Linked DNA regions of Saccharomyces cerevisiae S288C. The gene in region 1 interacts genetically with each later gene. Each region holds a gene or a part of one and is shown on either strand. Other genes may lie near its edges.

Evidence for each region.
Region 2: mutations in ILV5 (region 1) and BAT2 are lethal when combined (synthetic lethality), as found in Saccharomyces cerevisiae (2 studies listed by BioGRID, with this or other methods).

Annotation. Positions count from the first base shown.
Region 1 is NC_001144.5:835,023-843,264, forward strand, and holds ILV5 (ketol-acid reductoisomerase), read right to left. Parts: upstream 4,232-8,242; coding exon 3,044-4,231; downstream 1-3,043. Other genes in the region: BUD8 (Bud8p), read left to right, coding at 1-1,141; sedoheptulose-7-phosphate:D-glyceraldehyde-3-phosphate transaldolase TAL1, read right to left, coding at 1,328-2,335; ATG33 (Atg33p), read left to right, coding at 5,299-5,892; RSC2 (Rsc2p), read left to right, coding at 6,309-8,242. UniProt on the Saccharomyces cerevisiae protein: Involved in the biosynthesis of branched-chain amino acids (BCAA). Catalyzes the second common step in the parallel biosynthesis of isoleucine and valine.
Region 2 is NC_001142.9:703,087-710,238, forward strand, and holds BAT2 (branched-chain-amino-acid transaminase BAT2), read left to right. Parts: upstream 1-2,657; coding exon 2,658-3,788; downstream 3,789-7,152. Other genes in the region: YJR146W (uncharacterized protein), read left to right, coding at 799-1,152; HMS2 (Hms2p), read left to right, coding at 1,110-2,186; YJR149W (putative nitronate monooxygenase), read left to right, coding at 4,074-5,288; DAN1 (Dan1p), read right to left, coding at 5,725-6,621. UniProt on the Saccharomyces cerevisiae protein: Cytoplasmic isozyme of branched-chain-amino-acid aminotransferase, which catalyzes the first reaction in the catabolism of the essential branched chain amino acids (BCAAs) leucine, isoleucine, and valine.

The sequences.
Region 1 (8,242 bases):
TGACACCTTAGAACCAGATGTTGAAGAGGCAGTGAGGCTAACGAAGAATAAAACTTCTAATGTTAATTTTATAAGCTCAACTGGCAGTAAAGGTGAAGGCGAGACCGAGGATGAAGTCATAGATCAATACGAACCTGTGAATGAATCAAAATTTATACCGCACAAACTAAAAATTCCAGAGAAGGCTGGATCAATAAAGTCGTCGACAAGTGATGATTCGCATTCGCCAGGTGCGCCAGGTACGTCGGCAAGGAAGATTAAAATTCCTCAGAGTCCATCGTTAATTGGTAACATATTGATTCCTTCACACAATAGTGACAGTAGTAACGAAAGTTCTCCTAAAGACCATATAGGGCATAATAATGAAGAAAAATTCAGTTCAAAATCTACGCGCAAGCCCTCCACATCCCTAGAAGAAGAAGGTCCACCAATTGGACTACCTTCAATTCCCGTATTAAGAAGTGTGTCCGGACCAAGCAAATGGACGAAGACACCTTTACGCTTAGAATCTGGAAATTCAACTAAGTCTGATCCATTTTCACGCTATGAAGGACACAAGACGCCCTCTCCATTGACCAAGATGAACAAGAAGAAAAATAAAACGTTGCCAGAACATGGACAACCCCTCGTGCTAGCTCCAATTAAATCTCAAAGCTCGGAGTCAGACACGGGACAGAACTCCATTATAGAAAAGCCAGCTCGAAGCATACGACGAAAGCAACAAGAAAAAACTGATAATAGGAAAGAAGACAGGCACGATGCTGAAAATATAGACCTGGAGGCGAGAATGCCAATTCAACATATCGATACCGCTTCCATTCATTCGTTTGATTCAGGTCAAAATGGATTCAGGGACGTTTACAGCATCGAAAACATCATTGTGATCCTCCTATGTTGTAGTATAGTGCCGCCATTATTTTTTATTATTGGCTGCAGCTCAAGAAGGAAATTAGTTTCAGACTATAGATTAATGAGGTTGCTTATGAATAAAGAACACCGAGCGGCTTTGCTGCAAGGATTCATATGGGACGTTGATTTAAGGTGGTTCCGGATGTTTTGTCTGATCTTAGGGGCTGCCGAAACAGTGATTGTGATGGCCGGTATTGCTATTGGATTTGGTGTGGGTATAACACGTGAATAAGAAACTGTATCATTCATCAAATAGGATAAAAAATAAAAAACTGTTCTGTCTCGTTAAAGTCATATATATAAATAGGGGATTTTCATTAATTTATATATATAGATATACTTGTGTACATGTACCCGTAAGTATCAAAAGAAACGTGCATAAGGACATGGCCTAAATTAATATTTCCGAGATACTTCCTTAAGCGGTAACTTTCTTTTCAATCAAGTCGAATAGAGTAACAATATCGGCAGAGAATTTTCTGATACCTTCGGACAATTTTTCAGTGGCCATAGCGTCTTCATTCAAGTCGAATCTGAATTTAGATTCGTCGCTGATGTAAGAAATCTTGTCGCCGGCTTCCTTCTTAGCGGAGACAGGGTCCAAAACTCTTGGGAAAGGTTCAGTACTGTTCATCAACTTGTCCAATAAAGCTGGAGAAATTGTTAGATAGTCAACACCAGCCAAGTTTTTGATTTCGTCAGTGCTTCTGAAAGAAGCACCCATAACAATAGTCTTGTAACCGTACTTCTTGTAGTAGTTGTAGATTTTCTTGACGGAAATAACACCTGGGTCGGCTTCACCCTTGTAATCTTTACCAGTGCTGGATTTGTACCAGTCTAGAATTCTACCAACAAATGGGGAAATCAAAGTAACTTGGGCCTCGGCACAGGCAACTGCTTGAACGAAGGAGAATAATAGAGTCAAATTACAGTGGATACCGTCCTTTTCTTCCAATTCTTTGGCAGCTTGAATACCTTCCCAAGTGGAAGCAATTTTAATAAGGACTCTTTCCTTGGAGACACCTTCTTGTTCAAACAATTTAATGATATGTCTAGCCTTTTCAATGGTAGCTTGAGTGTCAAAAGACAATCTAGCATCAACTTCGGTGGAGACTCTGCCTGGAACAATCTTTAAGATCTCCTTACCGAATTCGACTAACAATCTGTCCACAGCATTTTCGACTTGTTCTTCGGTGGTCTTACCATGCTTCTTACCGTATTCCACGGCAACATCGATCAACTTGGCGTAAGTTGGTTGCTTGGCAGCAGCCAAGATCAATGATGGGTTAGTTGTGGAGTCTTGAGGTTGAAACTTGGCAATAGAGCCGAAATCACCAGTGTCGGCAACAACGACAGTGCCGGAGGCTTTCAATTGTTCTAGAGAGTTGTTAGCAACCTTTTGTTTCTTTTGAGCTGGTTCAGACATTATGTACACGTATATGTGACGAGTTCGAGAAGTATTTTACTATCGTACTAAATTTTACCTGAAAAATTATATACTCGAGAAAGAGGAAGCCAAGAATTGAGAAAAAAGAAAAACCCGCGAGTAAGGAAATTAAATACAGGTGTACACATACACGCACACATATATATATATATATATATGTATATGTGTATATAGGAAGCGCGCGCATGTTAGTATATACGATTCGTTGGAAAGGGGCCGTCCACCAAACGTGACTTGACGAGTTGACAAATTGACCTCAATATGGCTCAGTCAGTAATTTTTAGTTCCGCTTTATTCCCGCCATCTTTCAGGCCACGAGGGTAGCTCATAACGCCGCGCTAATGCCGCTGCGTCACAGCAACCAGTAGCTCAGCCAAAACCGAAAGAGAAATCGTAGCTGTCCCGATGAGGACTTATACACTTGTCACCATCTAAATAAATTATTTATTCGCGTTTCGGTTCTTGTTTTCGATTTAATTAGATTGTTCATTGAATCATAATAAATATGTAAAAAATATATATATTTGAAGCTGCTTCAGAAAAACAGGGCTTCCTAGTGTACAGATGTATGTCGGATGAAAAAAAAAAAATCTTAAATGTGAAATTGGGTCAATTCAATTGACTATGACTTGATGTTGCAAAAATTCCAAGAGAAAAAGTTTCCAGCACTTGATATTATTTTCCTCTTTATTGGTTTTCTGGTCTCAACTTTCTGACTTCCTTACCAACCTTCCAGATTTCCATGTTTCTGATGGTGTCTAATTCCTTTTCTAGCTTTTCTCTGTAGTCAGGTTGAGAGTTGAATTCCAAAGATCTCTTGGTTTCGGTACCGTTCTTGGTAGATTCGTACAAGTCTTGGAAAACAGGCTTCAAAGCATTCTTGAAGATTGGGTACCAGTCCAAAGCACCTCTTCTGGCGGTGGTGGAACAAGCATCGTACATGTAATCCATACCGTACTTACCGATCAATGGGTATAGAGATTGGGTAGCTTCTTCGACGGTTTCGTTGAAAGCTTCAGATGGGGAGTGACCGTTTTCTCTCAAGACGTCGTATTGAGCCAAGAACATACCGTGGATACCACCCATTAAACAACCTCTTTCACCGTACAAGTCAGAGTTGACTTCTCTTTCGAAAGTGGTTTGGTAAACGTAACCGGAACCAATGGCAACGGCCAAAGCTTGGGCCTTTTCGTGAGCCTTACCGGTGACATCGTTCCAGACGGCGTAAGAAGAGTTAATACCACGACCTTCCTTGAACAAAGATCTGACAGTTCTACCGGAACCCTTTGGAGCAACCAAGATAACATCTAAGTCCTTTGGTGGTTCAACGTGAGTCAAGTCCTTGAAGACTGGGGAGAAACCGTGGGAGAAGTACAAAGTCTTACCCTTGGTCAACAATGGCTTGATAGCAGGCCAGGTTTCTGATTGAGCGGCATCGGACAACAAGTTCATAACGTAACTACCTCTCTTGATAGCATCTTCAACAGTGAACAAGTTCTTGCCTGGAACCCAACCGTCTTCGATGGCAGCCTTCCAAGAAGCACCATCTTTACGGACACCAATGATAACGTTCAAACCGTTGTCTCTCAAGTTCAAACCTTGACCGTAACCTTGGGAACCGTAACCGATCAAAGCAAAAGTGTCGTTCTTGAAGTAGTCCAACAACTTTTCTCTTGGCCAGTCAGCTCTTTCGTAGACGGTTTCAACAGTACCACCGAAGTTGATTTGCTTCAAACCACGGGTAGTGATCATTGGCTTAACGAAACGGGCAGCTGGTCTGCTGTAAGCAGCAGCACGGGTGGCCAAAGCAAAGGTTCTCTTAGCAGTGATGACACGGGAGTTGCAGATCAATCTGGCGGCTTGAGTTCTCAACATGTTTTATTTTTTACTTATATTGCTGGTAGGGTAAAAAAATATAACTCCTAGGAATAGGTTGTCTATATGTTTTTGTCTTGCTTCTATAATTGTAACAAACAAGGAAAGGGAAAATACTGGGTGTAAAAGCCATTGAGTCAAGTTAGGTCATCCCTTTTATACAAAATTTTTCAATTTTTTTTCCAAGATTCTTGTACGATTAATTATTTTTTTTTTGCGTCCTACAGCGTGATGAAAATTTCGCCTGCTGCAAGATGAGCGGGAACGGGCGAAATGTGCACGCGCACAACTTACGAAACGCGGATGAGTCACTGACAGCCACCGCAGAGGTTCTGACTCCTACTGAGCTCTATTGGAGGTGGCAGAACCGGTACCGGAGGAGACCGCTATAACCGGTTTGAATTTATTGTCACAGTGTCACATCAGCGGCAACTCAGAAGTTTGACAGCAAGCAAGTTCATCATTCGAACTAGCCTTATTGTTTTAGTTCAGTGACAGCGAACTGCCGTACTCGATGCTTTATTTCTCACGGTAGAGCGGAAGAACAGATAGGGGCAGCGTGAGAAGAGTTAGAAAGTAAATTTTTATCACGTCTGAAGTATTCTTATTCATAGGAAATTTTGCAAGGTTTTTTAGCTCAATAACGGGCTAAGTTATATAAGGTGTTCACGCGATTTTCTTGTTATGTATACCTCTTCTCTGAGGAATGGTACTACTGTCCTGATGTAGGCTCCTTAAATTGGTGGGCAAGAATAACTTATCGATATTTTGTATATTGGTCTTGGAGTTCACCACGTAATGCCTGTTTAAGACCATCAGTTAACTCTAGTATTATTTGGTCTTGGCTACTGGCCGTTTGCTATTATTCAAGTCTTTTGTGCCTTCCCGTCGGGTAAGGGAGTTATTTAGGGATACAGAATCTAACGAAAACTAAATCTCAATGATTAACTCCATTTAATCCTTTTTTGAAAGGCAAAAGAGGTCCCTTGTTCACTTACAACGTTCTTAGCCAAATTCGCTTATCACTTACTACTTCACGATATACAGAAGTAAAAACATATAAAAAGATGTCTGTTTGTTTAGCCATCACAAAAGGTATCGCAGTTTCTTCTATAGGCCTCTACTCTGGTCTTTTGGCTTCCGCTTCATTGATTACATCTACTACTCCACTAGAGGTTTTAACAGGATCCCTTACTCCCACTTTAACCACTTTGAAAAATGCGGCCACCGCCTTGGGAGCGTTTGCGTCAACTTTCTTTTGTGTGAGCTTTTTCGGCGCTCCTCCCTCATTGAGACACCCCTACTTACTCTATGGTATGCTTGTAGCTCCATTATCTTCATTTGTTCTAGGATGTGCCTCCAACTATCAGTCTAGAAAGTACAGTAAAGTCTCTAAGGAATCTTCTTTATTTCCCGAAGACAGCAAACTCGCTGCTTCCGAACTGAGCGATTCTATTATTGATTTAGGTGAAGACAACCATGCTTCAGAAAATACACCTCGAGACGGGAAGCCTGCAGCAACCACAGTATCAAAGCCGGCAGAGGCATTGCACACCGGTCCCCCAATCCATACTAAAAATCTAATTGCAGCAACTGCTATTGCTATTGTTGGCTTTGTACAAGCCGTTATTGGCGTTTATGGGGAAGGACAATTTATCTAGTGTTTCTCGTTCACGTATTTATCTCTACAAGAATTTGTAGCTGCCTGAACTCGGCTCCTCTCTCTCTCCAAAAATAAAGTGTGTAGTAATTTGCAGTTTTTTTATATATTCCTACGAGTTTTCAAACGTTCAAAAGACAGTATGTTCAAAAATTGTGCATACACACACGTATGCACATATATACATAATAATACACTGTAATAAGCACATTTGTAGGTGCTCTTGCACTTGGTTTATTACTGTCACTGACTTTTCTCACCCGGCCGAGAGTCGTGCGAAAATTCGCATGTTAAAGTGAGAAAATAGAGAAAACAACACAGCTGAAAAAAGTATTGGTAACAGTTCAATACGTGATCAAATATACAGCACGTCGCGCAGAACCAGACGAAGCGGAGAATATTCTACATTGACAGTGCATGATGCCTGATGACAATTCAAACTCGTCCACTCAAAACTCAAGCGCATTATACAAGGACCTGAGGAAAGAATATGAATCTCTTTTCACTTTAAAGGAAGATTCTGGGTTAGAGATTTCACCAATATTCAATGTCCTTCCACCTAAAAAGGATTATCCTGACTACTACGCAGTGATCAAGAACCCTGTATCTTTCAATACTTTAAAAAAGCGTATTCCACATTATACAGATGCTCAACAGTTTATGAACGATGTTGTCCAGATTCCATGGAATGCCAAGACTTACAATACAAGAGATTCAGGAATTTATAAATACGCCTTAGTCCTTGAGAAATATTTAAAGGACACAATCTATCCAAATTTAAAAGAAAAATATCCTCAATTAGTGTATCCTGATTTGGGTCCTCTACCCGATGAACCAGGTTATGAAGAGTTTCAACAGAAATTAAGAGAAAAAGCTGAGGAAGTAGCGAGAGCTAATGCAGCCAGAGCCGAGTCGAGCTCTTCAATGAATTCAACAGAAGCAGCCAGAAGATTAAGAAAGACTCGTACTTCCGTCAAAAGAGAATCAGAACCAGGAACCGATACAAATAATGATGAGGACTATGAGGCGACGGATATGGATATCGATAACCCTAAGGATGCTGATTTTCCTGATTTGATAAGAAAGCCACTAATAAATATTAATCCATATACTCGGAAACCATTAAGAGACAACAGGTCCACTACTCCATCTCACTCAGGCACCCCTCAGCCGTTAGGCCCAAGGCATAGACAGGTATCCAGAACTCAGGTAAAGCGTGGGAGACCCCCAATCATCGACTTACCGTATATTCAAAGAATGAAAAATGTTATGAAAGTACTAAAAAAAGAGGTGCTAGATAGTGGAATTGGTCTAACTGATCTTTTTGAAAGATTGCCCGATAGACACAGAGATGCAAATTACTACATCATGATTGCTAATCCAATTAGTCTTCAAGACATAAATAAAAAGGTAAAGACTCGTCGTTATAAAACGTTCCAGGAGTTCCAGAATGATTTTAATCTTATGTTAACCAACTTTAGAATTTCGCACAGAGGTGATCCTGAAAGCATAAAAATTTCAAATATCTTAGAAAAGACCTTTACTAGTCTGGCAAGATTCGAACTATCCAAACCTGATAGAAGTTTCATTCCAGAAGGCGAGCTAAGATACCCTCTAGATGAAGTCATTGTAAATAATATATCATACCACGTGGGAGATTGGGCACTTCTTCGAAATCAAAATGATCCTCAAAAACCTATAGTGGGCCAAATATTCAGGCTATGGAAGACACCAGATGGGAAACAATGGTTAAACGCTTGTTGGTATTACAGACCCGAACAAACTGTGCATAGAGTGGATAGATTGTTTTACAAAAACGAAGTTATGAAAACAGGTCAGTACCGTGATCATTTAGTGTCAAACTTAGTTGGGAAATGCTATGTGATTCACTTTACTAGATATCAACGTGGTAATCCCGATATGAAATTGGAGGGTCCCTTGTTCGTTTGCGAATTCCGTTATAATGAATCCGATAAAATTTTTAACAAGATTAGAACCTGGAAGGCTTGCTTACCAGAGGAAATTCGTGATTTGGACGAAGCTACCATTCCGGTAAATGGTAGAAAGTTCTTCAAATATCCTTCCCCCATAAGACATCTACTACCAGCTAATGCAACGCCGCATGATCGCGTTCCTGAACCAACGATGGGATCCCCGGACGCGCCACCATTGGTCGGTGCCGTTTATATGAGACCTAAAATGCAGCGTGACGATTTGGGGGAATATGCAACCTCTGATGACTGTCCCAGGTATATTATCAGACCCAACGATTCTCCCGAAGAGGGACAAGTGGATATAGAAACAGGTACGATCACCACAAACACGCCAACAGCAAATGCTCTTCCTAAAAC
Region 2 (7,152 bases), on another chromosome or scaffold:
TGGTTTGTTTTGGGCAGAAAAATCGCTATATAAGAAAGTATTTCAACACTAGATTAAATTATAGTATAATTTTTAATATACTAGTATTGCCGACAATCTCTGAAATTTCAATACTACCACACAGAACAGGACTTGCCAGGGCCAGTCCGAGCCAGCCTAACTCCAAGACCACGTACTAAGTGAATTGCTACTCCCCCTTACCACGACTACAAAGAGCTACACGGCCTCCCGGCCTAGGCCGCTGCTACTTTCAACTGATGTCACCGAAAAAAATAACGGAAAACGACAGTTCAAGAAAAAAAGAACGCAGGAAGAAAAAGGAAGCAAAATTACAGAATGTACGGCTGTTTAAAAATAAATAGTGGATGCATGGGTGCTTCCACGCGTCTCTGGGAAAAAAAACCAGGATATTTTAATGTTTGTTTATTTGTTTATTTCCTGCTGAACTGAATATTGAAAACATCGAAAAAATGCAGTACCCAGCTCTCCATTAGGACTTTTTACGTAATGACGAAAATGGACAAGCTGCGCAGGAAAGGACTACGAAAAGTATGCTGCCATAATGACAAGATAAGGCGCAACACACGTAATCATGACTAATGGTTGCACAGACGGTAGGCCAGGAGAAGGATTAGATCTCGTGCCGAACGACAGCAAGCTAGCTAGACTATGTTATCTGAGTGTAAACGAAAGCGCAGCAGTCTCTGCAAGAGCACGTGCGACGTGTCTGGTGTGCAAAAACCCTCTAGAGAAACATTGCTAAGGTTTACCGATGCAGGAAATCTTTAGTTCTAAAAGATGAAAGTCGGAAAAGCCAAAAAGAAACCGGAAATCTTCTCTGCGCATTGTTCTGTGGCCACGGCCTTCCTGGACCCGTCCTTCTTTTACCCGAACTTTGTCGCCCAAAAGGCATCTCATTATAATGACAAAACTGGATCTGCAAATATTTGGACATATATCTCCAGAACGGGCTCACTTCTCCTCTTCACCCAGGTGGTATATAGGAAGAGTAAGTGGACGCATCAGTCCGCGACATTTGCGGACTGTATATATTGCCAGTCAGGGCAGTCGCCAAGTGTGTCTCTTTCGTGTAGCGACGCACGTCAGACATGGATGCAACATCGAGGATGGAGCAGCCTGATGTCTTTGTAAGCAAACTCTACCACCTGCTGCAGGGGAACGCTTACTCGAACATAATACAATGGTCGACTGATGGCAGCAAGCTCGTCATTTGGAATCCGGACCAGTTCACCAAAGTCATCCTAGAGCGATTTTTTGGTATTCACACCTTTGCAGCATTCGTTAAGCAATTGAGCAAATATAACTTCCAGAAGGCGGGCCGCCCGGACTGCGTGGAGTTTTCCAACATTCATTTTCAAAAAGATAACATTAATAGCCTCTCACTGGTTAAAGCTCATCAGTCTGCCGCCACTCCCAATGTCGCCGCCGTCAATAATATGAATAAGCAGTGTACTTTTCACTGGGACCCTTTCAAAGTGAACTCCATTCTAAGCAAGGCCATCGGCAAGCCTTCCTTCGAGAAATTAGTGAAAAATGTTGACAGGCTTCAGGGCAATCTTGATGAGCTTAAGTCGACAAACGCAGATAGTCTGCGTATTATAAGGGAAATTAACGCCAGCTTACAGACAATCTCCTACCACCAGTTTCACGCCTACCAAACCGCTAACTTCCTTCAAGAAAATTTTGAAGCCATCAAAAAGGTTGTATGCCCGGACTCTTGTCTACAACACCAGCAACGCCAACCAAAGCGCCCCAAACGCTACTCGTTGCTGTTACTAATACCAAACGCATCCGAATTGTCAGAAACACCTTTGATGCGCTTCGCCGGCGTGTTCGAATTTATGAACTGCTCTTTGGATACGGCCACTCAGTGGCACCCGCAGTTGCATCCCGAGGCATACGACCTTCTTTTCGTCACCGTGTCGCCCAACATGCAACAAGAACATCTCATCTACTTCAAGAGACTGAGAAACCTACTCCCAAGCTTTCCTGTAATAGCCATTATTAACAGACCCGTCTCCCCTCAAGATACCAGCATTGCTCCCTCCAACTACTCTCGCTATTATTTCCACCATTTTTTGCAGTTGGGGTTCAGTGACATCCTAGTTAGCCCCTTCACCCCAACACAACTTATAACGCTCCTTTCCAAACATCTTCGAACGTGAAAACCTGCCTCTGAGGGTCATTCACGACCTAGCATACCACTATATACGTGTACGATTTTTTTTTTCTGTGACCGCACTACACCAAAGTTTAATGTTCCATTGGCCCCGGAACCATTCTTGCAAACGGCGTTCTTTTTCCGCTTTCGGGTGACACTTAATTTAGCTTCTTTTCCCTCTCTGACACCTCTTGTTATCTAATCTGTAGATCCGACTCTTTTTCTTTTTGGTGTCGTTCTTCTATGTCCGTTTTTCTGTCAACAAAAACGGAAATAATAGGTAGAAATTAAGAGCCGTACGTGAGTGAGAGGAGATCCGAAATGAGCTGACAGTATAACTAATATAAGCTTACAAGATATTCGACTATTTCCTGGGAAAAAATTCATTCCTTTGAGAAATCCTTAATAAAAACAGACTAACTACTAAAATTTTAGAAATTTAAGGGAAAGCATCTCCACGAGTTTTAAGAACGATATGACCTTGGCACCCCTAGACGCCTCCAAAGTTAAGATAACTACCACACAACATGCATCTAAGCCAAAACCGAACAGTGAGTTAGTGTTTGGCAAGAGCTTCACGGACCACATGTTAACTGCGGAATGGACAGCTGAAAAAGGGTGGGGTACCCCAGAGATTAAACCTTATCAAAATCTGTCTTTAGACCCTTCCGCGGTGGTTTTCCATTATGCTTTTGAGCTATTCGAAGGGATGAAGGCTTACAGAACGGTGGACAACAAAATTACAATGTTTCGTCCAGATATGAATATGAAGCGCATGAATAAGTCTGCTCAGAGAATCTGTTTGCCAACGTTCGACCCAGAAGAGTTGATTACCCTAATTGGGAAACTGATCCAGCAAGATAAGTGCTTAGTTCCTGAAGGAAAAGGTTACTCTTTATATATCAGGCCTACATTAATCGGCACTACGGCCGGTTTAGGGGTTTCCACGCCTGATAGAGCCTTGCTATATGTCATTTGCTGCCCTGTGGGTCCTTATTACAAAACTGGATTTAAGGCGGTCAGACTGGAAGCCACTGATTATGCCACAAGAGCTTGGCCAGGAGGCTGTGGTGACAAGAAACTAGGTGCAAACTACGCCCCCTGCGTCCTGCCACAATTGCAAGCTGCTTCAAGGGGTTACCAACAAAATTTATGGCTATTTGGTCCAAATAACAACATTACTGAAGTCGGCACCATGAATGCTTTTTTCGTGTTTAAAGATAGTAAAACGGGCAAGAAGGAACTAGTTACTGCTCCACTAGACGGTACCATTTTGGAAGGTGTTACTAGGGATTCCATTTTAAATCTTGCTAAAGAAAGACTCGAACCAAGTGAATGGACCATTAGTGAACGCTACTTCACTATAGGCGAAGTTACTGAGAGATCCAAGAACGGTGAACTACTTGAAGCCTTTGGTTCTGGTACTGCTGCGATTGTTTCTCCCATTAAGGAAATCGGCTGGAAAGGCGAACAAATTAATATTCCGTTGTTGCCCGGCGAACAAACCGGTCCATTGGCCAAAGAAGTTGCACAATGGATTAATGGAATCCAATATGGCGAGACTGAGCATGGCAATTGGTCAAGGGTTGTTACTGATTTGAACTGAAGTATCGCTATTGCTACGTAAAGTAATTAAAAGTTAAAAAGAATAAAACTAGAGCGTTTTTTCTACTGAGTTAAGGGGTCATGTCAGAATATAACATACCCTTTGACATTGTATATATGAATTCCTGGATTTTGCAGTGATCTGATAAAAAATGTATGTCGAAACCTGCAATTATCCTTTCGTTTTTTTTCTTGTCATCTAGTGCTGGCCTATCGGTATCAAGGACATCTTTTGCGCGGATAGAAAAGGGCCCATACATACCTTAGAAGCAACTCAAGACAATTCATGTACTTTTTAAACCAACTAATATTTCAAGACGTTTCCGTAATGTCGGTGGATAAAAGAGAAGATATGAGCAGATCTTTCCAAAAATGTTTAAACTTGAGATACCCTATCATCCAGGCCCCTATGGCGGGGGTCACGACTATTGAAATGGCCGCTAAGGCTTGTATTGCGGGCGCCATAGCTTCACTACCCCTATCCCACTTAGACTTCAGAAAGGTCAATGATATTGAAAAGCTTAAACTGATGGTTTCACAATTCAGAGATCAAGTAGCCGATGAATCTTTAGAGGGCAATCTCAACCTAAACTTTTTTTGCCATGATATCGTTGATAAACCGACCGATCTTCAAACAGCTAACTGGGCGAAGCTATACAGAAAGTCTATGAATGTGCCGATTGATATGAATGAGATTAAATTCGATAATGGTAATGTATCTTTTAAGGCATTTGAAAAAGAAAATGCTCTTCAAGATTTTTTCCAGTACCTATCAGATGGCTTTAGGCCTAAAATCATTAGTTTCCATTTTGGCCATCCGTCGAAATCTACAATAGAATATTTACAAAAAATTGGAATTCTAATTTTTGTGACTGCCACCTCTGTAAGAGAAGTTCGATTGTTAGCACGTCTCGGCATTAATGGCATAGTGTGTCAAGGCTATGAAGCGGGAGGACATAGAGGAAATTTCTTAGTAAATGACCCCAAAGATGATGAAAACTTATCAACTGTACAATTGGTGAAAAGAACAGTTGATGAACTTGCTGAAATGAAAAATAAAGGTCTTATACATGCTACTCCCTTTGTCATTGCAGCAGGTGGTATAATGGATTCCAAAGATATATCATACATGTTATCACAGCAAGCAGACGCTGTTCAAGTGGGGACTGCTTTTCTTGGTTGCAGTGAATCCAATGCATCAAAAAACTTTTCAAGCCCCTTCACTCGAGAAACAACAACTAAAATGGTTAATATAATATCAGGAAAGCCTGCAAGGACCATCTCTACTCCTTTTATCGAAAAAGTCATTGCTAATTTTCAAGGTGAGGAGCTTCCTCCATATGGCTACATGTATAGTGCTTTCAAGCAAGTAAGAAAAAAGTATCCAGAATTGGCTAACTTTATTTTAGCTGGACAAGGATTTCAGAATGTCCAATCAGGAATCACAACAGACAAGAAAATTGAAACTATGGGCGCAAGATTGAAAATTGACGGAAAATAATATAAATACATATAAAAGACCTGATACTTATTGACACAAATTTTCTGGATGACCTTTTTCTATATGATATATATACGTCGCTATTGGATCGTAGGTTACTTGGCCATTATTTGAGCGTAACCGTTCACAGGATGTGGGCTTTAAGGAATACAAAATCCAAATATGGAAAAAATTTGATATCAATTTAGGGCTTTAATATCTAAAGGTATTTATTTTTTTCACAGTTTTTTTTCTGTTAAGCTGTCTGCAATAAGGAATGCTCCTGACATGAAATTCGAAAAGGACCGGAAATAGTTGGAGCACAAGACTGCAAACTAAAAAACAAATTTCTTTGGAATTTCCTTACGCTTATAGTATATATCTTATAAATATTAAAATTAAGAGAATTCAATTATTTTACATCATTTATACAACTGTACAGGGCCGCACATGATCACTATAACAATAGAGCGGCGGCACCAGCAATAGCAGCGGCACCGAAAACACCGTTATTGAACTTGTTAGCACCGTTAGTGGTAACGTCAATAACACGAGATGCTGACGATGTGACAGAAGTAGCTGTAGATTGAGCTTTGGAGGAGACTGGCTTAGTCACAGTTGAACAGACGTTATTTGAACAACTAGTTATGGTAGTTTCAACAGTGGAAGCTTGAGTCTTTGTGACGGTGCTGTCAGTACCATTTTGGACCACTGGAGTGACTGAGATAGAAGATGTAGAAGAAACTGGAGCTGTGGTATTGGCAAAACTAGCAGAGCTTGCAACAGAGCTTGCAACAGAGCTTGCAACAGAACTTTCAGCAGAACTTGCAATGGTGCTTGCAGCAGAGCTAGATTCAGATGAAACAGTAGCTTGGGTGGAAGCAGCGTTTGAGCTGGTCTCTGCTGAACTTTCAGAGGAGCTAGAAGACTCAGTGGCGGCACTAGAAGCTTCTGAAGTGGAGGTGGAAGAAGCCTCTGTGGTAGAAGCTGGTACTGCAGTAGCAATACCTTCATTCGCAAGTGCTTCGGAAATAGCACCCATCAATCTAGTAGAGTACCATGGCACACCGGTGATCATTCTGGTCACTTCATCACCTGAAATACCAGTCAACATGGTGGTGAAATCGCCACCGGCAAAAACAGCCTTGGCAATTTCAGGTGGGTATGTTTCAGTCTTATGCAAAGCCTGGAAAGCGTAATATTCAGATAAATGGGCGCCAATATCAGAAACGTAAACAGCCAATTCAATCAAATTGACCCTTTCATCATAAGGGGATAGAGTGGTGGTCACGGATGCGGCGGTTGCACTTGCCACTAATGCTGCGGCGACAGCTAATATACTAATTCTAGACATTACTTGGGGTATATATTTAGTATGCTACACTTTTATCTGAAAAAGAAGAAATAGTACCGTGTCGACATAAAAATAGTATCATTTAGTCGTGCTATTTTATACGCAGTATTTTCAATCATTTCTATTCAATGAGTACCCAGGGACCCTTTTGCATTTCTAGCATTCTCTGTTCCTGAACGATGTTTTGTTAGAGGCCTCGTATAGATCTTGGCATTTTCAAAGGCACGCGTTGTATTGTTTTATTGCCTATCAAAGGAACGCGCAGGAAACATGAAACTTTTCAGAGGAGCGTCTACGGAGGATACATTCATCAATTTTTCCTCATAAATTAAACGATGTGTACAAAAAGGACGAATTGACCCCGTCGTTCGGCGAAACCTTATGTATTTTCCTGGCCATATGTGCTAAACGACAGATAAAATAGGAAATTCTCCCCATTTTCGACTAATAAGATAAGCGGGAGATAGCATCATATGAACTTTTGCACTCAAACGAAGAAAGCACGTGAGGATTGAAGAAAACGGATCGCCG